2 linked regions of the Stegostoma tigrinum genome follow. The protein of the gene in region 1 binds, or shares a complex with, the protein of each later gene. Links are inferred from orthologs where the notes say so. Each region holds a gene or a part of one and is shown on either strand. Other genes may lie near its edges. The genes, in order: low-density lipoprotein receptor-related protein 5-like and fzd8a.

What was found.
Region 2: low-density lipoprotein receptor-related protein 5-like (region 1) and fzd8a share a complex: the UniProt entries of both Homo sapiens proteins name them as parts of the wnt-signaling complex. The link is inferred for Stegostoma tigrinum from reciprocal best matches to the Homo sapiens genes LRP5 and FZD8.

What each region holds. Positions count from the first base shown.
Region 1 is NC_081370.1:25,820,173-25,833,491, forward strand, and holds the start of low-density lipoprotein receptor-related protein 5-like, read left to right. Parts: upstream 1-7,447; 5' UTR 7,448-7,660; coding exon 7,661-7,715; intron 7,716-13,319. UniProt on the Homo sapiens protein: Acts as a coreceptor with members of the frizzled family of seven-transmembrane spanning receptors to transduce signal by Wnt proteins.
Region 2 is NC_081355.1:131,098,801-131,111,171, forward strand, and holds fzd8a (frizzled-8a), read right to left. Parts: upstream 5,676-12,371; 5' UTR 5,018-5,675; coding exon 3,248-5,017; 3' UTR 3,227-3,247; downstream 1-3,226. UniProt on the Homo sapiens protein: Receptor for Wnt proteins. Component of the Wnt-Fzd-LRP5-LRP6 complex that triggers beta-catenin signaling through inducing aggregation of receptor-ligand complexes into ribosome-sized signalosomes.

The sequences.
Region 1 (13,319 bases):
AGCAAAGCAGAAACAATCATGGGAATTCCTCGAAGCCTGGTACTCCACGATGAAAGCCATCAACAAACACATAGAGCTCGACCCCATTTACACTCCACTGCAAAAGAAAACTGGAAGTGGGGTAATCCAGCTCAATGGACTCTAGAGTTCAAATAACAGGCGGGAAAACACAACAGCGCTTCATCGGAGACTGCACTGATGATGTTACCCAGCAGGGTAATGAAATGTCTGCGGAAAAACAATGAACAAGCTCAACAAGCCAACCAACCACAACATCCACGACCTGAGCTACAAATCTACTCTAAAATCTTAGATTGAAACTTACACTAACAAATGTGAAAATGTTTTTTAAGATGAAAAGTTTTTAGTAAAAGACAAATCAATCTTTTAAAATGGTTAATGGCATTCAGATAAATGGGGCCAGTATTTCACAGAAATGTGCTTTTGCATCCAGAAAGGATCCTGGCTAAGAAGTTTGAGATAAAAAGGTATAGAGCTGGATGAACACAGCAGGCCAAGCAGCATCAGAGGACTAGGAAAGCTGACATTTTGGGTCTGGACCTTTCTTCAGAAGGGCCTTTTCTGAAGACCCGAAATGTCAGCTTTCGTGCTCCTCAGATGCTGCTTGGCCTACTGTGTTCATCCAGCTCTACACCTTGTCATCTCAGATTCTCCAGCATTGGCAGTTCCTACTATCTCTGGCTAAGAAGTTTGATTGGACAGTTAAACTGGTTGCAACTAGGACTAGATTGGATGCCAGTTAATGCAGTATGGGAATTGATAACTGTGATAAAATATGCTAATTTCAGGAGTCTTAAGAGCAAATAAAATATTATAAAGGGATTAAATTCAGAAAAATACACAATCGTGCTTTGAAGCCTTGGATGACCCCAAAAGACATAAAGCTATTCCTTTTTAGTGATGTTACACATGGCAACTTTTAGGATAGCTATTTAAGTACAACAAGGGCTATCATATACTTGATGGACAACAATAACAAATGTCTGTTGGTCTAGGAAACCAAGAAGCTAAAACGCACGTTCAATATAATTTAGTTGCTGTAACATTGGCAGTAGCAGAAACTATAGATACGCAGGTCTATTTATCCAATACTTTAAAGGAAATCCCAGATAAGGGCACTCTGAGAAAGGTTTGCCCATGGAATTTTACGTGGATAACCATTCTCTTTGAGATAGTGAACATTTGACAAAGAATTAAAGATTGGCTTTGTCATACCTTTTCTTATGGCCATAAAGAAAAGATTTCCAAAATAAAGAGACTAATGCATCTCTTCTGTTGTCAGCCAATTAAATGAAGAAGTTGCTTGCTCTAAGAAATTACTGGAGATCTTTGGAGAGGGTAGCATGATAGTATGAGGAATTACAAGCAAATGAAGAAACAAAAATCAGTTTTTGTTTGGATTATTTTGTGGTTAAGCATCTATTTTGTATAAAAGGTGGATTATGAAAAGTTGGTATATGGAATAATTTTTAAAAATTGTTTTGTATCATTGTTTTTATTTAAGAAATGTCTGAATGTCTTCAAAGAGTTATTAAATTTTTTTCTCCTTTTGTTTTCTTTTCCTCCTCCTTTTTGTTGTTCTACTCTTCTATTCCATTCTTCCAAATCACCCAGGTCTCTAGTTAAACTAACTGTTTACAAACACCGATTTCAAAGATTTTTATTTAAACAGAAGCATTTAATGATATAGCCAACAGTAGAACAGGTTACTAGGGCTGATTTCTTCCTTAATTGCTTGGGTAGATGTAAATGAAGAATGTAGCTGCTCTCTAGGTGCAGTGGATGTGTCCCCACCTCTGAGCTAGGATACTCAGATTGAAGTCCCATCTGGTCCAGAGATGCGTCAAATATCTCTGACCAGCTTGATAAGAAAATACTGGTGTGTTAAGGAGCTGTAGTAAATAAACTCTATCCATAAAGAAAGATGTCTTGGTTTCTGTAAATGTAGTTATAAAACTCAATTACATTTGTTTTTGCAAAATACATTATTCATATTATCACTTAGTTGATATAATATTGTTCCTCATCTTCTGAGCCAAAGCAGCAGGTTGCAGTTGGTCTTGGACCAGTCAGTACTTCTCTTCGAGCTCATTGTGATGATTCAGGAGCTTCGGTTTCCCTTCTAATCACTCTATGTACCTTTCTTTCGACTGTTTTCAGCTTCCTACTGTGCTTGTTCTGTTTGGTTTGACGCATTTGTATTTGCACCCTTAAATATTTTTAGCACATTTTGTGGTTTGACACTAATTTCCAATTAAATCATTTTTCAATTCTGACATAGTTTGAAACTGCATCCACAGTTTGCTAATTTGCTGTCTGAACACAACAATATTATTCTTAATTTTTTCCAAGTTCTATTTGATATGTTGACCATTTTGGACTGAGGTTCAGAATCTCCCTCTTGTATGCCTCCTGCTAACTGTACAGAAAGCACTTTCTCCCTCATTTGGCCCTTTTCAACATGCCATATTATGTTCTGTTCAGTTTTTAATGTTTCCAGGTTAGTGACTATACTGCTGGAGCTTTTGAAAATCTTGTTCTTTCGCTGTCTGACTTACTGAATTTGTCCTTTTCCCTCAATCAAAAATGCTTTGTGTCTTTCAACAACAATATTGAGAATGCCAATGTCTAACTTCAACCAATGTATTTGGCTTTGCATCAGGTATTACCGAGGCTCTGTAACTCAAGAACCATCTTGCTTCTGATGACAGTGTGGTTTGGAATGAATATCTTACCTTCAACATTCAGAGAAGTTTCCTTCTTACTGGATTAAATTACATTCCCTACAGTGTGGAAACAGGCCCTTCGGCCCAACAAGTCTACACCGCCCCTTGGAGCATCCCACTCCAACCCATCCCCCTATAACCCACCCCTGAACACGACAGGCAATTTAGCGTGGCTGATCCACCTAGCCTGCACATCTTTGGACTGTGGGAGGAAACCGGAGTACCCGGAGGAAACCCACACAGGCATGGGGAGAATGTGCAAACTTCGCACAGACAGTTACCCGAGGCTGGAATCGAACCTGGGTCCCTGGCACTGTGAGGCTGCAGTACTAACCACTGAGCCACCGTGCCGCCCTTCTTATGGTTTACTGAGATTAACTGCAGTGCTTTGCAATTACTCAATTGTAAGAACGTAGGATCATTTGTCTCTGAGATATAAAACGTGCAGTTAACATCTGTTGTGATTCCCTATTATTTGAGTTGTTCCTGTCAAATCTCAAATTCCTTAATCAGCTGTTCAGATGATGTTGCTTTGTTTCAGAGCATCTTCCCTTGTGCAACTCGTTACTTTAAACTGTTTAGAGAAATTAATCTGATGTAATTTGAATGGGATAACATACTCTAGGTTCTAGTTTCAAGCTTCAGGTTTACAGTTATGAGTGTTTCTCACCCTCTTCCTGATCTGAATGGTTATTTAAATTTAATTTCTCTCAGGACTGTTTCATGCATTTGTATGGTTCCAATCATCGTCTTCTCAAATTTACAGCCACCTTCTCAGGTATTAGTGTTTTGGTTTCTTTTCTTTCTCATTTATCCTGCTGCTTTGCCTCTAGTAGCCCATGCATCATGTTATTTGTTCTGTACATTTCTCCCCAGTGACTGAATATTCCATAAGTTCCGCACATAGTGAACTCATATGGTCATTTACAGGTCTTACACATATTGCTGCCTCGTCCCATTCTTGTGTTGTTGTTCCACTGAATCAACATTGATCCTATTAAACAAATCTGAATCTATCCCTACTCGGCACACGATGAAGCCAATCCTTTTGCCTTCACTGCTGCCTTTTAGAAAAAACCATCTGGAATGTCAATCTGCACTTATGTTTAAACTTCAAATATTTCTATGACATCATCAACATCCTGATCTGGAGCTGTATTTTTACTACTGTGCTAGTGGCTATTCACTTTTGTACAATTCACACTTTCTTTCCCCTCTGACACTAATTTGAGTTTGAGTTTTATTTTTCTCAATCTAATTCAGCATTTATTTCATACTCAAACATCTGCTAGTATCATGTTAAGGTCTCATGATTCATTAGAGTTTGAAATAATTACATCCTTAAACTCAAATGTTGCAGTTTAGGTTAATCTTTTCCACAGCTTATAACATAGGCAGGAGAATAGACCATTTAGTCTCTTGAACATGCTCATCATTTAATTAGGTTATAATTCTGCAACCAAACTTCACATATTTATCTTCACCCATATCTCTCAATTCCTTTCGGCAACAAGAACCTATCTATCTAACTCAAGTAAAAATTAATAATTGATCTCGCATCAAGTGGACTGATCTATCAGTCTTTTATCCATTTCCTCGAACAATACTTGCTCACAATATTTCCGAATCTCATCAAGGCATCATTAACAGGCTACCCAGATTTCTGCTTTGGGCTTTCAAATTCATACTAATGGACATGGGTGCAGATCAACTATAACCTCATATAGCTCACTTAACCAGCATTTGAGGACCTATGAAGTACAAAGTTATTAATTTTGCAGCATTTGGAGCACAAGTTGGCTCATTTACAGGAGTATAGAAGTCAGAGGGTCGAGTACACTTTGTATACTTCGCACAAGTCGTTCTTCCTGGGATATTAAAGATGGTCCAGAAAGGCCATGAAACAAGAAATGAAGCAAAGGAGGACTTTCATTGCAATATTTTCTTCAAAATTAAATATATTTGTGGCTAAAGTTTGATACTTTCTCAGGTTTAATGGCCCTTGTCATTTTTCTGACCAATGTGAGACTCTAACATTTATGGTAGTGTCAAAATTGCCAAATCCAAAACTGAGTAAGAATAGCACCCTTTCGTAATACAACTATTCACATCCTGATAATGCTCACATAATGTGCCTGGGGTGTTTTGTTCTGTTAAAAACATTCTCTCAATACAAGTAGTAATTGCATTCCCACATGTCTGTCCAGACTTTGAGAGTCAGCTTGGAAAACACCTTGCAAAACAAAGCTGAATAGGAATTGCTAAGCTCTCATTACATTTTTTGAGAAACATTTAACTAAGTGAATCTGCTGTATCTAAAAGACTTTAATACAATAGTACAGGATATTGAACAAATTACATTTCAGCACAGTAGCAGACCATTTTACTGGACTTGGGGATTATTTTAACTACTTCTGCCTGCTCTTGCTAATTTCTCTTTTAAGACCTATCTGCCAGAGTCAGTGATCATAAAGTTCTCAAGGTCATGAAGTAAGCAGGCTGTCAAATTGATGTGGAAAGCAGGAGAAGGGTTGTCTTCCCCTTGCCATGCCACTTGTCACTGGTTGGAAAAGTGGCATATTACTGGGGAGTTCAAATAAACTATTTAAGTCATCAACTGTCACCTGAAGGCCACGCCACGTCTCTGTGACCATTTTGCCTGGGTCAGTAAGGCCTACTGGCACATGGGGAAAAGTTGCCTGCGGCAGTGAGCATCCCTGAGCCTGCCTTTTGCCACAAGCACAGTATCCATTTGACCCTCCCTTCCCCCGCCAAAATCACATCATAAGTCCGGCTTCCTGAACAAAGCCCAACCCCTTCAAAGAGCCTGGTTATGGAGCTGGAGCTGCCACCTGAGCAATAGCCACAAGTACTGCTGCCAAATTGCTAGCCCTCTAACTGGGCTTATAGCTCTTGGTGATGGAACTCCATCCTTAATTATTGATAGCACTAATGTCAGCCAAGATGTTCTCACCGCATGTAGCTGATCCACAGCTTCATGTAGCAATAGCAGAACAGCAGTAGACCATCAAGTCCCTCAAGCATATTCTGCCTTATGCAAATCTTTTTCCACCCAAATCACAAGTTTCAAGAAGATAGCTCTCCTTCATTTAAAAAAAATCAGGGTTGGCTATCAAATCCTGCCCTTGCTAGCAATGCCTACATCCCCAGAACAAATCTAAAAACGTAGACGGAGTCTGGTTCACCAACTTTTTTCATGGTTAGATAAAAGTAACAGTGACATTATTGATGATCATTTCATGTCAGGAATGTCTTATTTCCCTGATCACTATCCCTGACTTCTCACAGTGCAGGTTCCTAATCTCAACTAAAGTTGAGCTGCTTTCCTCCGTGAGGAGAAAATAGGATGGTGTCTACTAATGCACACATCAAAAGTTGTACAACTACAGGTCTGAAGCAAGAAAGCCTGAGAAAAAGAACCTATGGCACTACAAAATGTAGTTTTACATTTCCCGAGACAGAAAACACCTGATCTTATATTGCTGCATCTCAAAGTCAATCACAAGATACTCCGATGTAATTGATACTCAAACACCGTTCTGTTAAATGTTTTAAAAGAAAACATGATCATTTTCAACACTGTTTACAGCACTGCAGGTCTACCTAAATAAGGTGTAGCTCCAGAAGGCAACTCACCGCCACCTTCTCAAGGTAACTAGGGATGGGCAATAAATGGCTAGCCAGCGAAACCCACTTCCAAAAGAGTGAAAAACTGATCGGCATATCAATACTAAAACATGTAAAACAAGGGCGCCCGGACAGACATGACATTGGGTCTTTGTGGGCTGCATAGCCTCATGGCTACGTACACAATTTAAATGCATGTTTCCGTGAAGCCACGGATACCGACCCAATCAAACTTTTATTTCAGATCTCCAGCTCTCCAAAATCAAACACAATTAACAATACAAGTGTAAGTTGAGTCGCCCTCATTTGAACGTTTCGATTGGTAAGGTTTGGGCGAATCCATGCTTCAGGGATTTTTTGGCAAAGGGCCGCTAGGCATAAAATTAACATTGTTTAAAGTTTTCCGGGGTAGTCAACGAAAATAACCATATTTACTCTATTCCACGTTCAATGGAATTACAGGAAAAGGGATCCGTGAATTAAGTCATGAGGTGCAACTCATAAAAACAAAGGTCCTTTGCTGTTTCCCTCAATACCAAATGGTGGCAGTATTTTTTGCATTTCAAGGGGAACCGCACGGGAACCTGGCTAAGTTTTGGAAACGCGATTTTGTACAGAATCTGAAACCTTTGCCGCCAGTTCTTTACAAGCAGCAATATTCACAGCAGTGGGATTTTTATGTTCATGCTTTCGGCATCAGAGAAAGCTGTTTACTCAGGGAGAAAATGAACACCGCTGCTGCACGATTTTGAACACACGCCTGCAGACTGAGGTCCATAAAACAATGACAAAACCACGTCCAGAAAACTTAGCAGTGATGGCTATGCGCTGTACTTGAACCAACACACTTTCGAAAGTCCTATGGCACTGATCCAAATGCAAGAATTCTTCAACTCAGCCTGACTTCCATTCTTTGGGTAGGACCCGCCACTTCCCGCTTCTCATTGGTCCGGAGGTGCTTCATAATTTGGCAACATCAAAGGCTGAACGTGCAGAGGCGCTCTGCTGATTTGTTAAGGGGAGCTGTCAATCAGAAGTAGGGGTGTCCCCGGCCTTCCGCTGGCGACTGTTCGGTCGTCGCCGGTGGAGGTTTGGGGGGTGGGCGGTAGACAGACAGACAGACAGAGAGAGAAGGGAACCAGCCGGGAAAGTACTGGAGACAGGGCAGACAGGCAGGCTGTAGGTGGATCGGCACTGTCTGTATGGTGATACATGGTAACTATGGGGCCTGAGTGAAACATTTTCACTTCTTCATTCAGCTACAAATGGAGACTTTGTTATTAACGTTGATCGCTTTTAGCCACTACTTGTTTGCAACAGGTAGGTGTGGGTTGTGGGGAAGGTGGACGGTCACTGCTTGTTTGTTATCTACGATCGGACCGTGGGCTCCGCGCTGTTGTTGGCCCGTGCCGTGTGACTTGTAGTAAGTAGGGATTTGAAGACGACCCACTGTTGGATGTGTTTTCTGACAGAATACTCTTCACAGCCCTGTCGTAGCAAAGATTATTTTTGGGGGGGGGGGGGGTGGAATTGGAAGGCGAATTGTCGTGTCCTACATAAAATATCTTTTCAGTCTAGACTCCACTTCTTCGATTGGGCTTTCTAGATTTTGGAACGTACAATGCAAAAGTGTGCCGTTGGTAAATTGAAATCGGATGTCTGTATGAAAAGTGTATTTGGAAAACAAAATACATTAAGGTCACAAAAGCAAGAGTTTGAGACGTGGTGTTAGATGTCACTTCCCCGTGCACTGCTAAGTTTGTCAACATCGAAGACGCGATCAATATGAACTCGTAATCAATGCAATACAAACATCAGCCAAATGTTACTGCTAGCAAATAATTTGGGTTAGTGAAATCAACTAATTTACTTGTTTAAATGTGTGCATGATGTTTTTGTTCGAGAAATTGGAAAATGTACAGCTTCAAGAAGTTGCCCGTTTCGAACTGAACTAAATTGATTAATGGATATCATCTAACACAGAGCTGGAAACCTGCAGCCTTTTCTCCCCCCAAGAAATCTGGTGAGGTAGTGAATATGTTGAATTTTTTAAAAAAAGGATAGGTTTTGCAAGGTACAAATTCGAGGAGATAAACTAACGCTGATTCAAATAACAGTTTTGGCCAATTTGAGCTCATTACAAGGCATTAATATACCATTGTATATCCTACTAAGATCATGTGCATGATCTGCGATCCAATTCCTTAGTACACTTTAGAAAATTTTAAATCAGATGAGTTTGTTATTATCTTTTTTTGCAATATTGGAAAGTGATGGCTTAGGGTAGCTGGTAGGTTCACTGACGCAACATTTATTTTTTCTGTTAAGCCTCTTCAAAGTGTGTGTCCAAATGTAGTTGGTTAATATTTAACATTTTTGTTGTATATTAAGGTTTTTGCAGGTTCTTGTAAAGATTAAAATTTCAGCCATCAGGTTATATTAAAAGAATCAGTCACCTTAATCTGAAAACAATAAAGACCCATAAAGTTCCATCATCGTATGATATCTGGGACACAGTTTTAAAATAACGAGCCTTTCATTTCAGACAAGGGTGGAGGAAGAATTCCATTTTTTTGATCAAGGGTGGCCAACCTTTTCACATGGGTGTGCATATGTAACATTTTCTATTCTCGGAGAGGCCAGTGAGCATGTTTCAGAAAGATGAGTTGTTAGAACAGTAAACAGAACTTCATGCAAAAGTCAAAAATGCTAAGCTAATAAATATGTAATTAATAGAAACCAGCAAATGGAGAGTCATTGAGATTCGAAATGTAAACTTGCTCTCGCTCTCCATGGATGCTGTCTGACCTGCTGTAATCTCCAGTATTTGTCGATTTCGTTTCAATGTCAGGGTGTGTTAAGGCCAGGAATATGGACTGTAGTGTAGTGGGATTAGGATCAAAAGAATGGCAATTGCATCTCATGGATAACGGGCATTCGGAGAAGGCATGAAGAACAAGAAGAAAACTGTGAGTTCTCATCCACTAAAGAGGAAAGGCTTCAAGGAAGTTTTGGCCTGGTGAGGAAGAGGAAGGAAGGGATGTGACAAAGCAGCTGAACTTATGATGTCATATTTCGTGACAAAGATGACCGTGGACTTTGCCTGTGAACAAAAATCATCTGTTGAGGTGCACTGTGTTCTTGCACCATTTTCCTGCTTTTAATGCTCGGTGAAATGTTGCTTAGGTTCTCATGGAAAGTAAAGACTCTTTCTTCTCATCACAACTGACTTGTTCTCCCAGAATATAATACCTGTGACTAGATTTTACTGTTCCAATATTGTTCATCATTTAGAAGCTTTTTATTGCCTCTCCAATTTAAGCATGAGTTTATAAAACTATGTAATAGTAACTTGCATCTAAACAGTGCTTTTAACATGGTAAAGCTGCTTCTACCTGGATTGTTAAAAATATTTGACATATAATATTTATAAGGAGAAATTATGATGGACAACTAAAAGCTTGGTGGAATTGATAGATTTTAAGCAATGAGAGAGAGAGGTAGAAAGGGTTAGATGTTTGTGGATGAATACTTTAGGGCCTTTGAAAGTATAGACAGTTGTGGTAAAGCTTCTAAAATAGACACTGTGCAAAAGGCTGGAGTTGGAGCAGCACAGAGTTTGGAAACAGAGAGCAAAGGTTGTTTGCTGAGAGCACTGCAAAATTTTCATACATGTCAGTTTAATAAGCTCATCATTGAGAAACAGGGTTCTGATTTTGTTTAATGTGTTGCATAGGAAAAAATATCTAATGTTCTTCTGCGTTTATGTTAAAAACAACTTTGAATATTCTTGTTGATAAGTTCAAGAGATTTTTAAAAAAAGCCTAACCACCAATGTAAAACAAAACTGGCATCTAAGCTGACACATAGGAGCATGATTTTTGTGACAGGAAGAAGTGGCAATAAAAAGGCATTTCTAACAATGATCACCTTTTTAAGGCCCTGTTATGTCTTCTGATTTTTGTATCACAAAAGATGTTTATAAATGGGGATACTTTTCTTTTTCAGTTACGACACGTAGAAAATTATAGGCCCCTTGCACTTGAAATTATGTTGCGTAGCAGCTGCTTTGAACATTTTGCATCTGTTGGAGTCTATTTAAAAGTGTACAAATGATTTACTGTGCTTCAGAAATTTAAATTAAGAAACTCAAAGAAGAAAGGAATGCTGTTTCTTTCATTTTTTTGTGACTGCCTCAAATTTTGACTTTTTCTTATTGTGAGTTTTGATTGATATGGTTATGATCACTTCAGACAGATCAGCTGTTCATATTTTCCTTGCAAGTACATCTGACACCAGAATCACTTATTGACAGAGATAATAGCTTCTCCATCTGCACTTTATCTGAAGATTTGTTTTATTTACAGGTGGTAGAAGTATTGAAACACGTGCAGAATACTTCGTGTACATTTGACAGCACAACTCTGGTTTTGTTTACAGCTTGCAGTTAAATATTGTCAATGCAAGATTTACTGAAACTAATGCTTACAGTGTAAACAGCTGACAGATGTTTCTAACTGAAATTGATAAAGGATTAATACTTTAATAGCTGATCTATTCAAACTATTATAATTATAATTTCTAACAGGTGCAAAATTAATGTGTTGTTACATTATAGTGTTGTCACTTTGCATGTTTAATATACTGTTTCCAATAAGTTAAATGGAAAACTAAACCTAAATTAGCATGCTTCACATACTGTACTTTAAATTACACCAATCGCTGTCAGCACTATACTTCACTTGATACACTTGACTTATATACCCTGATATGCTGTCCCGATACTCGCCATCTTTGAAAAGAAAAAGTGATTTTTTTTGTGGTAGGCAAATTTATTATTTTTATCTCTATAATTTTCTATAATAAAATGCTTTGTTTGACAGGTGTTGATATCATAAGACACATTTTACAGCAGCAGGGCAACAGTTAGATATTGAGGGAACATGGTCAATAGCATTTCTGCCAGTATTTCATTTTACTCAGCATGGATTTCTGAGGTCAGTGCACAGCAATGACTTCCAGTCAATGCTGCACTCGCATGCTGACACTCATCACTGTGTGTACCCCCTCAGAGTGGCTGTATGCACATGCAACCATGCATCTTAGAGGGAATATTGACAGTCAGCCCAATGGAGAAGTGAGACAACAATCAAGTAGCAAAAAGAACCAAAGAACCCCGGATGCTTGAAATTAGAAAACAGGAACAGAAATTGCTGGAAAACTGCAACAGGTCTGGCAGCATCAATGAAGACAAAGCAGAGTTAGTCTTGTTTTGGGTCCACTGATCCTTTTTCAGAACCAAGTGTGCTTAACTGGGAATTTGGTTTCAAACTGGGAATCATCTGAATTGGGGAAAGAGATGTTTCATTTACAGTTTATTGCAAGAAGTGTGTCAAGCGAGGAGTTTAGTGAAGGCTAGAAAAGAGGGGCATTTTCTTCTGCTACTCTATTTCTTTTCAATCTCCAGCATTTGATTTTTAATTTCATGCTGCAGAAGGAGCAGGTAAATGATTAACAGGTATTAAAAACTGTTGAGTTTTATCAATATTGTAAGTATTGTGTTCTGAAGTTTACTGTCACTGCTTTTGGGCGGTGTTGGTTGTATTAATCATAAGTTAATTAGTTAGCTGCAGCTCATAATTCACACATTGGCAGCACAGCTCATGTGCTAGATTGCAGAATATGACAGCTTCTAGATGCCAGTGTGATCAACTATTTGCAGTAAGCCCTTGTGGCTTCAGAATCTTTGGCTCAGAGCCACAGGCATTGAGGATCATCAGAGAGGGAGAAGGTTTCCAGGATCCAGGAGCTCTTTTGGACGGGGTCTTCTGTTTGAGTCCGTATTCAGGGAAAGGAGCGTGTAACTAAGTGCGATATTTAAGGGAACCTAGACAACAGTATTTTAAGCCTTTGTAATTGTTTAATAGGTTTGAGGTTTTCTGCACTTGTCTGGGTGAGAGGGAGGACAGCAGTTTGGGTGAGTTCATGAGCCATGGCACCATGGTACAAGAAGTCATCCTGGACAGGATTGTAAAAAGGATTGTAGTGGAAGTAGGAGACGGCAGAGTCAGGGGTATTGACACTCTTATCTGTAGCAGAGAGTGTGAGAGATCGCTGTGTCGCCTGCCTGGTACTAATGTTCGGGACATTTCCTCAAGGCTGGAGACTACCTTGGATGGGAAGGGGAGGAATCACTGTTCATGGTCCATGTCAGGTTCTGGTGAGCAGGTATGAGTATGAGAAGATAGAACATTAGAACATTTTAACATAGAACGTTACAGCACAGTACAGGCCCTCCGGCCCTCGATGTTGTGCTGTGCTGACCTGTCATACTGATCTCAAGCCCATCTAACCTACACTATTCCATGTACGTCCATATGCTTGTCCAATGACGACTTAAATGTACCTAAAGTTGGCGAATCTACTACCGTCACAGGCGAAGCGTTCCATTCCCTTACTACTCTCTGAGTAAAGAAACTACCTCTGACATCTGTCCTATATCTTTCACCCCTCAATTTAAACCTATGCCCCCTCGTGCTCGCCGTCACCATCCTAGGAAAATGGCTCTCCCTATCCACCCTATCTAACCCTCTGATTATTTTATATGTTTCAATTAAGTCACCTCTCAACCTTCTTCTCTCTAACGAAAACAGCCTCCAGTCCCTCAGCCTTTCCTCGTAAGACCTTCCCTCCATACCAGGCAACATCCTAGTAAATCTCCTCTGCACCCTTTCCAAAGCTTCCACATCCTTCTTATAATGCGGTGACCAGAACTGTACACAATACTCCAAGCGCGGCCGCACCAGAGTTTTCTACAGCTTCACCATAACCTCTTGGTTCCGGAACTCGATTCCTCTATTAATAAAAGCTAAAACACTGTATGCCTTCTTAACAGCCCTGTCAACCTGGGTGGCAACTTTCAAG
Region 2 (12,371 bases), on another chromosome or scaffold:
CGCCCAGAGCAAACCAAGAGACAGCCTTAAGAAATTCCCAGCGTGTTAACCACACCCCTCCCTGAGCAGGACCAGCAAAGGACTCGATAAAGAGCCGTCGTGTACCTCACCTTCTCGGGTGTCAGCCCTTTATTAATTACCCCGGAGGTCACGGGAGTGCTTGCAGTGGGCACTTCGAACAGAGTTGCCCCTCGCTATGACCGTTTCTTCGCACGACAGGGAAAATAGCACCGCAGTATTTTAAGAATCCAGCTGGGACGGACCTCGACTTTGTCAAAGGCTCCATTCCCAAGATTCCCTACATTGCACCAACTAATTCCGTCCAGCCAAGTCGCTAAAGGAATGTAAATACTGGGGTTGGTCTTCGTTGGGACGTAGGTTCGGAAATCACCCCGCCGCTGACGTGAAAGATTGCTCCGCCAAACCGCTGTTTCTTTTTCAACAAAAAGAAACAGAAATTTCTGGAAAAGCTCAACAGGTCTGGTAGCATCGGCGCACAGCTGATGCTGCCAGATCTGCTGATCTTTTCCAGAAATTTCTGTTTTTGTTTCCGATTTACAGCAGTTCTTTCAGTTTTTATTCACCCCGTTTTTGAGTGGAGTGACAGGAGAAATATTTTCAACCTTTTTACTTCGGCAATCTACCATTCTTGTGGAGCCTTGCAATATGCATTTGTGAAAATGTAAGATCTTTGTAGACCAGGAGAATAAAACGAGAGATAAACTGAACGTGTTCACAAATCCATTGCAAAGACTTGAGGTGTGTCCAGTTTCTTTATTCTAATCTGCAGACAGAAAACAATGTAGGGCACTGTCGGTTTGTATTGGGCCCATTCGGACGTAACTCCACAAACGTTCATGTTCTTGTCCTGAATTCAGTTAAAAACTTGCAGTTGAGATACATATCCGTTTCTGGTCAATCTTTTAACTACACTGAAACTCAACTTTTCAAGCGCTTTTCACGCTGTTTTAGCCACTAACAAGACGTCCGTAAAAGTAACCGCAGTGGGTTACAGCAATGCCCAGAGACTAGGACCTTTGAAAGGACGGTTCGGGAAGTTTCTTTGTAAACACGTTGGGAAAGAATCCTTTATTCCACATCAAGAGGCCTGCCAATTCTATTCCCGCTGCTGCAACATGACTCGTGTTTGGCATCCTCAAGCCGGTTTATTTGCTGAATCTGTTGACATTTTCTGATTAAATTCAGTGATAAAACGTACACACGCCACCCACTGAGCCCCGACCACTGGTGGTTCCACAGGTCGCCACAAAACGCGAAAAAAATGCTAATAACGCGGGCGAAAAAAAAACGTTCCACACATTTTACTGGAAATTCTCTACATGGATTCAAGAAATGATCCCCTTTCAAGTTGTAAGTTATCTGTTTCGTACAAGCCAAACGTGCAAGTGATACTTCGTGCAGTGCATAACCGAATTCATAGAGCTTATGTTCACAAAATTAATACTTTGGAAATAATTTCGTATCATCCAGGTGGAGTGGAGAATGGAAACTTCAGATTAACATTGCCTTGTTAAACTTAATACTATTAACCCTCAGTAAGTGCTGGCTTGCATTAGTGCCTGATGGATGGTTTGGTCATCAGTTGGTCTGACCTCAGAGAGATGGGACTAACTGTCCCCTCTCTTATCTCGATTGACAAATGCTGGACCCGGGGGGCAATTCCCCATCTCCCCCCCGGGGGGCAATTCCCCATCTCCCCCCCCCCCCCCCCCCCCGAGTACGAACGCGCAGCCTTCCCAATTACTTTTAAATTATCACTAATCTGCCATAAAATTGCGTGCGTACTGGGCATAGTTTGTCTTTATGTTCCCCAAACTGCTAAAAAGAGTGAAATGCCCTTTCATGAGGAGCGCACACTCGCCTGAACAACGCTGCTATTTCGTTGATCGGCTTGCAACTATAGTCCAGGCAATTGCCATGCAGTTTTTTTTAAAAAGGCCTGTATTCTATAATTCTTGCCCATTGCTTCAATTAGGAGCAAAAAAGAGAGAGGGCTTTGTAATGCAATTGTCTTGCAAAGGAGAGCGCCTTAAATTGGGGGATTATGCGAGCTGGACCACCTGTAGGGCATTCATGGGCATTTCTATGTGTTCAGGCCTATGCCTTACTGCCTGCAGTCTGGTCAACAATGCAGAAAAAGCTGTTTGAAAGACTGTTCCCCGTTCCCTTCGTGCTCACTAACTGTTACAACTCGTCCCCCCCGTTTAAACGAGTTAAGTCTCAGAAACGTTCCTTCTTATTCATTTTTAAAGGCACCATGGCCGACGTCCTTGAAAACAAGGGAGGCTAGAAATGAAAGGGGGGGGGGGGGGGGTGGTGGAGAGAAAGAGAGGGGAAAAAAAGTACTTCAAGCTTGGAAACGAGACATCAAAGTTACCCGATTCAAAAGGCTCACTCCTACAGATTAACCCTATTGAATTGAGCCTCGTTTAAGAAATTATGTACTCAGCCAGTAGGCAGCCAGGTAAAAAGTTCAACAATTACTAAAATATTCAGTTGCTCCTAAACTGATATCTCAACAAACTACCCACCAGTAAAATGCACATTTCTCTTCCCCACTCCTGCCCCTCCCGCCCAGAAAAGATTTGCCGAGCATGTTCCAAAAGTAATTAAAAATCAAAAGTTGTTTTATTGTCAAAATAGAATAATTGTTTCAAATAATTCCTGGTGCTCCTGCAAAGGCAGCCACTAAATTTTTTTATATATATACAAAAAAATGTACATACTCTGAATATACCTCAAAAACGCTTTTGTTATGTACACAATTTACAGATTTGTGTTCATAGTACAAATAATTATATAAATACAACTTTGCATGAAACCCGTATTACTTAGGGATACTCAAAAAAAGGATTTTAAGGCAGGTTGATGCACCCAGGCTTTTCACCATTAAGAAATGTGTCAAGTACGCCATTCATTCCTCTATTTAAATTATTTCCATAAATGTCATCAATTAAAAGTGACCAATCGACTCCTTGCAATGATCATAAAATCGCGACTGGCTGAAAAGTTTCTGGTCATGGACACGATAGAAATTCGTTTCCCCTCACACATCTGGACAGCTAATGGACGCCGTGCGCATAAAAATGGTTACGATTCGTGAAGTATCAGTGCCAGGTACACTGTTCCGGTCAGTCCTTCACTTCTGACTCCTGGATACCATTAGATGTCCACTAACATTTTAATAAGACGCTGGGTTGAGAGAGAGAGAGAGAGCTCCACAGTTTTAGACTTGGGATAACGGCACTTGTTTGGGGTAAGACACGGAGCTGGCGGTGCCAGATCTCCAGGTGAGTCCGGTGCTGGCGTCGCTGTACATGGAGCCGCCGGTCCCTTTACTGCCCCAACAGCAGCGTGTCCAGAAGGCCTTCCAGGACTCCAGGGTCTTGCCTGACCAGATCCACACGCCCGAGGTGATGCCCACCAGCAGGCACATGAAGTACTTGAGCATGAAGACGGCGTAGTCGGGCCGGCGGGCCTCCTGCTCGCTCAGGCACGAGCAGTTGTGGGTGAGCTCCCAGTGCGGCCGGTTGTGCTGCTCGTAGAAGTAGCAGGCGACCACGATGGTGGCGGGCACGGTGTAGAGCACGGTGAAGACGCCGATGCGGATCATCAGCTTCTCCAGCTTGTCGGTCTTGGTGCCGCCTTGCTTGAGGATGACGCTGCGGATGCGGAACAGCGAGACGAAGCCGGCCAGGAGGAACATGGCACCGATGAACAGGTAGATGACCAAGGGGGCCAGCACGAAGCCCCGCAGGTTGTTCAGGTTCTGGTTGCCTACGTAACAGATGCCGGCCACCGGGTCTCCGTCCACCGAGCTGAGAGCCAACACGGCGATGGACTTGACGCTGGGCACTAGCCAGGCGGCCAGGTGGAAATACTGGGAGTAGCCGGCGATCGCCTCGTTGCCCCACTTCATGCCGGCGGCCAGGAACCAAGTGAGGGACAGGATGACCCACCAGATGGAGCTCGCCATGCCGAAGAAGTACACCAACAGGAAGACCAAGGTGCACAGGGCGGGCCCCGTGGTCTCGTAGTGGACGTGCGGCTCCAAGGGGGCGGCCGGGCGGCTGCAGGCCACGCTCTCGTGCCCCGCCACCAGGCGGACCAGGTAGCCGGCCGACACGAAGAGGTAGCAGGCGGACAGGAAGATGATGGGCCGCTCCGGGTACTGGAAGCGCTCCATGTCGATCAGGAAGGTGGCGACCGTCGCCAGGGTCGAGACGAAGCACAGCACCGACCACAGGCCGAGCCAGAAGGCGGTGAAGCTGCGCTCGTCCGCCGTGAAGTAAGGGTCGTGGCACGGCACCGCGCAGTTGGCCGCCTCGCCCGTCCTCACGCGGTTGTAGAGCGGGTGGCGCTCGCTGCGCACCGGCACCATCGGGGCCCGGCAGTGGCAGCCCGGCTCGCAGCGGGCAGGAGGCCGCTGCGGTGGAACGGCAGGCCGGCGGCTGGCCCCGGGCCCTGGGGGAGCGGCGGCCGGGGGCGCTGCCGCCGCAGGAGGGGCCCGGGGGCGGTGCGGGAAGAGCGGAGCCGCCGTGGTCGCCTCGGTCCGGTTGTAATCCATGCACAGGGTCTCGGGCTGTCCCTGCCGGGGTAGCCGCTCACACTTCATCCTGTCCGGCCAGGCGAAGCCGTACTGCCGCATGAGGGGGGCACAGCCGGCCTTAGCCCGTTCGCACACGCTGCGGCACGGCGGCAGCGGTTTCTTGTAGTCCTCCAGGCAGATCGGCGTGTACATGCTGCACAGGAAGAACCGCAGGTCCGCCGAGCACTGGATCTCCACCAGCGGCCAGAACTGATGCACCTCCAGGCCCGCCTCGTCCTGCGAGTCGTGGTTGAACTGGTTGGGCATGTAGGTGTAGTTGTAACCGATGCCTTTGCACAGAGGCACGGTGATCTCCTGACAAGACAACTCCTTAGCGGCCGAGGCTCCGCTCGACCTCTGCAGCAACACCACGGCCAACAGCAGCTCCAGCAGGTAGCAGCACTCCATTGCAGCCTCCTCAGACCCTCCAGGCTTGGTTTTTATTCTTATTTTGTTTAGAAAGAAAAAAATTGTTTCACGCCAGCACTGATTCTATCTTTTTCTTAAACTTCCTCTTTCCCCCCCCCGCTTTAACAAACGCCAAGATAGAATCCTCGAGTCCAGCTGCAAAGTGCAAGTTGTCTCCGTCTCCTCCTCTTGCCCCAACCCCGACCCCCAGGAGCACCCGCCAGCCTCCTGCACCCCCTCCAATTCCTCAGTCCGGATCTCAGAACGACATGCGGGTCAACAGCCAACACACATTCAGCCTGGGCATCGGGCTGCGGTCCACTTCACGCAGAGGACGAGCCACTAAAACATGAGCTTTCCACTCCCCAGCTCACGCAGGCCGGTCTGACTAAGCTGGCCACAACTGCACCTTTTTCCTCACCCCTCCCAAAACAAAAACTTCACACAAGTTCCTCCTAACTTTTTTGCTTCTTTTAAGACGACCAGGGCTTCTCCCTTTTTTGGCTGGTTGTACTGGGTCTTGGAAGGTGGGTTGCTTTCAGACTGTTGTGGCCCTCCTCTTCCAACCCTTCCCCAAAACAAAACAAAAACCACACAAAATTCCCCAGGACTAAATACGAGCGCCGCGTCGCATTAAGTGATCACCGAACGCAGAGAACCTAATACTGTTGTATATTTATAACGTGAGAAAGCCAAATCCCACCCCCTCCCAGGCCGGGGTTACCAATCACACGATGACAGGGGCGGAGGGAGAGTGGAGGGAGACACAGCGTCTGTCAATCCATTCTCGCCTCAGAGAAGAATCCCACAGTGACAGTTTCCAGAGGGGCTGGGCGTTTAGCAGGTTAATTTTCGCTTGTTAGTTCCTCGCAGGGGGCTGTCTTTAAAGTTCCCTCCCCCTCGTACAGGAATTGTTTGGGTTTTTTGTTTGAATTGAAGCGCCGATGTTTCATTCGACCAGAGACTCACGCAGAAGGTGGGACTGCTGCATCTTTAAGAACGGAAACTTGAGTTAGTTAAAGGCGATGGGCATTAAGGAAAAAAAAATAAAGAACAATGTAGAGGTGTCCTGCTGAGTATCTCCAGCATTTTCCGTCCCGTAACAAGAGAGCAGGTGGCGGATTTTGCTAGATTTTTTTTGCAGTGGAGGGAAATATAAACAGCGCGAAAATAGGACGAGTTTCGAGCGAGGGATTGTGTCCTGCTATGAATTTACAACTGAACACATTTTAGCTACGCTTTAAGAGTCTGAACGGGCAGACACTGCAGCAAGTTTTAAGATTGTAGACGTGCCCCGTTTCGAATAAACTTTGATAAAAACTTTCGTCTTCTTTTCCGGTTTTGTACATTTCAGTACTGCCCGCACTCGCCTATGTATTTCAGCGATGGCCAAAACTCCACTTTAATGTTGGCGTTTATTTATTCTTGCTGTATTTTTGAAAGTGCAAAGCAGTTCAGCGCAAGGACCTTGATCGCGGTTTATGCATTTTTTTTGGAGCCGGGTTGAGCGTCCCTCGACTCGAAGTGCAGTCCGAGTTCTATCAATTCACATTCTGCAACCCCCCGCTCCCCCGCCCCGAAGACTGCCCCGATACACCCCATCCTAAACTCAACTGAATGAACCACAACGCCTCCTTCGCTATTTCATTCTCACAGAAATATCGCGAAGCATTTAGACATGATGTTTTTGGATACTGTGAAATGGCCTGGTGTGATGCCTTTACACATGATTAATGGGATCCACGCTGTTCATATGTATATACGTTACTACACAGTGAGTAACATTAGTAGCAGCTCCGAAATAGTACCAGGGTTAGAGACTGAAGTATCTGAAGACTGGACGCCTCCGCTTTGTTTGCTCTCCTTCCAAACTTAATGTTCGAAGCACTATATTTAACAAATATTTATTTTTAATAGGCTGATGACATTCGGTGCAAAGTGAATTCGCCGGTGAATGTATTTTTTCAATAAAGGAGTTACTTACAGATGCAGTGCAGCGATCATATTTGAACTAGCTTTCATTCATAATATCATAGAAATATAAAAAGCTGCATAAAAATACAGGCTGCTCTAAGGACAGTGTCTTTGAAAAAAAATGATGCCTTAATCAACAGATAGGTACAGTCCACCAATGGCCAATGTAATCTTTTTGTCATGTTCTGATATAAAGTATCACAAACCTAACTATAATGAGGGCAAGTAAAATTAGTAACGAGAAAAATCTTAAGAAGTTATATTATGTTATCAAGATTGTTCTAAATGAAATGTTGTAGCTGTGTGGTGTGTTTCCTACACTCTTGGGTGTTTCTGAAGTAAACTCCTGAAGTTATCTGTTTTAGAGTGTAAACTCCAGTCAGTTTTACCATTTCAAATTCATTTAAAATTACATAGTTATACAGCGCAGAAACAGACCTTTTGGTCCAACTTGTCAGTGCTGATCAGATATTCTGAACTTACCTAGTCCCACTAGCCAGCATTTGGCCCATGTCCATCTAATTTTTTCCTATTTGCATACCTATCCAGATGCCTTTCAAAATTTTGTAATTGTACTAGCCTCCACCTGCTTGTATCAGTTGTCACTTCTTCTGGCAGCTCATTCCATACATGCAGCACCCCCACATGGAAATGTTGCCCCTTCGGTTGCTTTTAAATCTTTCTCCCCTCACCACAAACCTGTGCATTCTGGATGTGGGCTCCCACACCTGAGGGGAAAAGAGCTTGGCTATTTACTTTATCCATGCCCCTCCTCCTGATTTTATAGCCGCAAATGCTCCAGGGAAAGATGTCCTAGCCTATCCAGCCTCCCCTGTATAGCTCAAATCTTCCAACCCCGGCAATATCCTTGAAAATCTTACCTGAACCCTTTAAAGTTTAGCAACGTTTGTTTAAATGCATTCTGAATTGAGAGGTTCCCAAGTGATATAGAAAGAATATCTTCCAATTTCCTTTGTATTCATTATCACAGGAAACAGATGATGGTCCAGCCAAAAAGGTCCAAGATTCAATTCATGATCTAAACTGAGCAAGCTCAGATGAGGCAGCACTACATTTGGCTTCAGTATCTTTGTGATGGAGAGGGAGAGACTCCTAAGTGGTAGTAAATTTTTCTTTGGATGTCGGCTATGGTACGATTAGGTTCGACTGCAACATCCTCCTTTGCCTCACATATCACTGTCAGGACTCTAAGAGAAAGGGAAAGATTTCATGCTGAGGTGAAGCAGACAAGAATTAGGGAGCCAGAGATAATGGGAACTGCAGATGCTCGAGAATCTGAGACAACAAAGTGTGGAGCTGGATGGACACAGCAGGCCAAACAGCATCTTAGGAGCACAAATGCTGACGTTTTGGGCCTAGACTCTTCATCAGAAAAGGGGGATGGGGAGAGGATTCTGAAATAAATAGGGAGGGAGGGAGGGGGAAGGCAGACCAAAGATGGAGAGAGGAGAAGATAGGTGGAGAGGAGCGTATAGGTGGGGAGGGGATTGGTCAGTCCGGGGAGGACGGACAGGTCAAGGGGGTAGGATGAGGTTAGTAGGGAGGAAATGGAACTGCGGCTTGAGGTGTGAGGAAGGGATAGGTGAGAGGAAGAACAGGTTAGAGACGCAGGGATGAGCTGGGCTGGTTTTGGGATGCATGGGGGGAGGGGAGATTTTGAAGCTGGTGAAATGCACATTGATACCATTGGGCTGCAGGGTTCCCAAGTGGAATATGAGTTGCTGTTCCTGCAACTTACAGATGGCATCACTATGGCACTGCAAGAGACCCAGGATGAACATGTCGTCTGAGGAATGGGAGGGGGGTGTTAAAATAGTTCGCGTCTGGGAGGTGCAGTTGTTTATTGCGAACTGAGCGTAGGTGTTCTGCAAAGCAGACCCCAAGCCTCCGCTTGGTTTCTCCAATGTAGAGGAAACCACACCGTGCACAGCGGATACAGTATACCGCATTGGCGGATGTGCAGGTGAACATCTGCTTGATGTGGGAAGTCACCTTGGGGCCTGGGATGGGGATGAGGGAGGAGGTATGGGGGCAAGTGTAGCACTTCCTGCGGTGGCAAGGGAAAGTGCCGGGTGTGGTGGGGTTGGAGGGGAATGTGGAGTGGACAAGAGAGTTGCAGAGACAGTGGTCTTGCCAGAAGGCAGACAAGAGTGGGGATGGAAAAACGTCTTTAGTGGCGGGGTTGGATTGTAGATGGCGGAAGTGTCGGAGGATGGTGCGTTGTATCTGGAGGTTGCTGAGGTGGTATGTGAGGACTAGTGGAGGACAATCCTCATAGTCCTCACATACCACCCCACCAACCTCCAGATACAACGCATCATCCTCCGACACTTCCGGCATCTACAATCCGACCCCACCACTAAAGGCATTTTTCCATCCCCACTCTTGTCTGCTTTCCGGAGAGACCACTCTGTCCGCGACTCCCTTGTCCACTCCACACTCCCCTCCCACCTCACCACACCCGGCACTTTCCCCTGCCACAGCAGAAAGTGCTACACCTGCCTCCACACCTCCACACCTCCTCCCTCACCCCCATCCCAGGCCCCAAGATGACTTTCCACATCAAGCAGATGTTCACCTGCACATCCGCTGTACCCATTGTGGCTTCCACTACATTGGGGAAACTAAGCGGAGGCTTGGGGACCACTTTGCAGAACACCTACACTTGGTTCACAATAAACAACTGCACCTCCCAGTTGCGAACCATTTCAACTCCCCCTCCCATTCCTTAGATGACATCTCCATCCTGGGTCTCCTGCAGTGCCACAATGATGCCACCCGTAGGTTGCAGGAACAGCAACTCATATTCTGCTTGGGAACTCTGCAGCCCAATGGCGTCAATGTGGATTCCACAAGCTTCAAAATCTTCCCTTCCCCCACTGTATCCTAAAACCAGCCCAGCCCGTGCCTGCCTCCCTAACCTGTTCTTCCTCTCACCTTTCCCCTCCTCCCACCTCAAGCCGCACCACCGTTTCCTACTTATTAACCTCATCCCGCCCCCTTGACCTGTCGTCTTCCCCGGACTGACCTATCCCCTCTCCACCTCCCCACCTATACTCTCCTCCCCACCTATCTTCTCCTCTATCCCCCTTTGGTTTGCCTCTCCCTCTCTCCCTATTTATTTCAGAATCCTCTCCCCATCCCCCTTTTCTGATGAAGGGTCTAGGCCCGAAACGTCAGCTTTTGTGCTCTTAACATGCTGCTTGGCCTGCTGTGTTCATCCACTCCACACTTTGTTATCAAGCATTAGGGAGTCTCTGTGTTGTCCTCTACCCAATGTGTATTATCTTCCTGTCTTCACAGAAATACCCCCTATTGTAGTAGAGACATTTTATCAGCAGTTTTCTCATCCTCCTTGTTTATAATGACACAAGTCAGCTACTTTACAAAAATAAAGCAAGAAAATGAATATATAGTGCCTTATATCTCTACAGTAGTTATTTGTTTACAGGAAGATTGTACGAACAGTTGGGGGATGAATATTTACTAATTGTGTGTTGTTTGAATGTAGAAGACAGGTCTGCAAAACACCTTTTCACTATATCTTAAAGATATATGTAATAATAAATCATTCATTCATTTTTTTATTGGGGAAATCTTAGTTGTTCCACAGGGTCTATGGCGTCTGCATTTACAGGAAACACTTGATTTCCATATTTCATCCAAAATATCTGACAATCTCATAACAACATGCCCTAGAATTATGGATATTTCCCTAATCAAACTGTTCAGAGAGATTATTACACACTTCTGAAGTAAATGGCTTCTGAACCCTGAACTCCTGGATCAGAGATAGGGACATAGCTACTGCACCACAAGAGCCATCCTGGCTGCTTGTAGATACGTTAACTTGTTCAGACATATTCTGACATGCCTTGAGAGCATGCAGGACTCAAATCCAAGCTGACTGGCTCAAAAGCTGGGATACAACCATTGTACCACAAAAGCCCTTCCCCTAGAGTAAGACGTTCATGTCCTTGAGTGAGGTGTGAGCTCACAATCCTCTTAACACTATCGTGAAATTACTTTATTAACATTAGTTATGCTGGTATGAGCACTAAATGACTAAAAGAGGTGATTTAGCTGACATGTGATATTGCAGATAATCCTGACTTATAATATTATTAGAACATAGAAGGCTCAATCAAAAGTGACCATTGAATCTGAGACAATCACAAGATTACCAGGCAATTACATAAGTAGTTAACAAAAGAAAATGCCGATAAGTTGACAATAAAGGAAATGAGTTATGACTGGAAAGATGTTAATGTGAATTCAGTGCCTGCACATCTCAAAACACTATACATACTTTCCATTTTGAAATAGCTAATTCTATAATTTCTGTGAAAAAATAAACAGAAATGCATCATACTATCTATTCACTTTAGGGACATGAATGAAAGCTTTTGAGAAATCTAAAAGTTTTGACATATTTGGATAACTTTCAAAGTAATTTATTGCAACAGTATAGTACTATCCACATGTTAACTAAATGTGTCAAAACTTAATTGGCAGGGCAAGAAGATGGGAAGAAACAAATGATTCACCTAGAGTTAAGTTTGGCAGTTGGCTGAAGGCAAAATCACTGAATTTAACATTAACTGGTTAGTAAGTATTTAACTAGATGTTAATTGTGGTCAAGTTGTATCAGTCATCTTTAAAGTTTAAGTCTCATAAGTCCCACTTGAGACTTGGGCATAGAATCTACTGATGCTTGAATACAATACCAAGGAACTACTTCATTGTTGGAGTCATTAAATGATCATCTTGTCTGCTGTTTCATATTGAAATGGAAGATTCCATTGCACTACTTTCAAAAGGAACAATGGAATTCTCTCAATATTTGCTGCTCACCCAGCATCACTAACAGATTATTTGGTTATTATTACCCAGTTGTTCCTGACATCTCAATGTGTTCAAAACTGATTGCCAAGTTTCCTTCATTACAACTGTGACTGCATTTTAAAAGTACTTCATTGGTGTAAAACTCTTAGGACATCGTGTAGTCATGAAAGGCGTTATAGAAGTACAAGTTTATCTTTTAGTTGAGAAACAGATATTGCTAGAAAACCTCAGCAGGTCTGATTGTGTTAACATTTCTAGTCTTTTGACTCATTGTGGGAACGTTTTATTTATTTTAGCTTATCTTTTGGTTCTTCATTCTATTTTAACATATTTCATGAACATTACAGAACACAACACAATGTTCTTGATCAAAAATTATGTTTGCATGTTGTGAATATCCTCGGCTGCAGATTTTAAGTGTATTTGAGAAATAAACAATTGATCATTTTTTAACATTTATTAAACAGAACAGCAAACCTTACTTCAGTTTTTTGGAATAGCACTTGATGTGGCA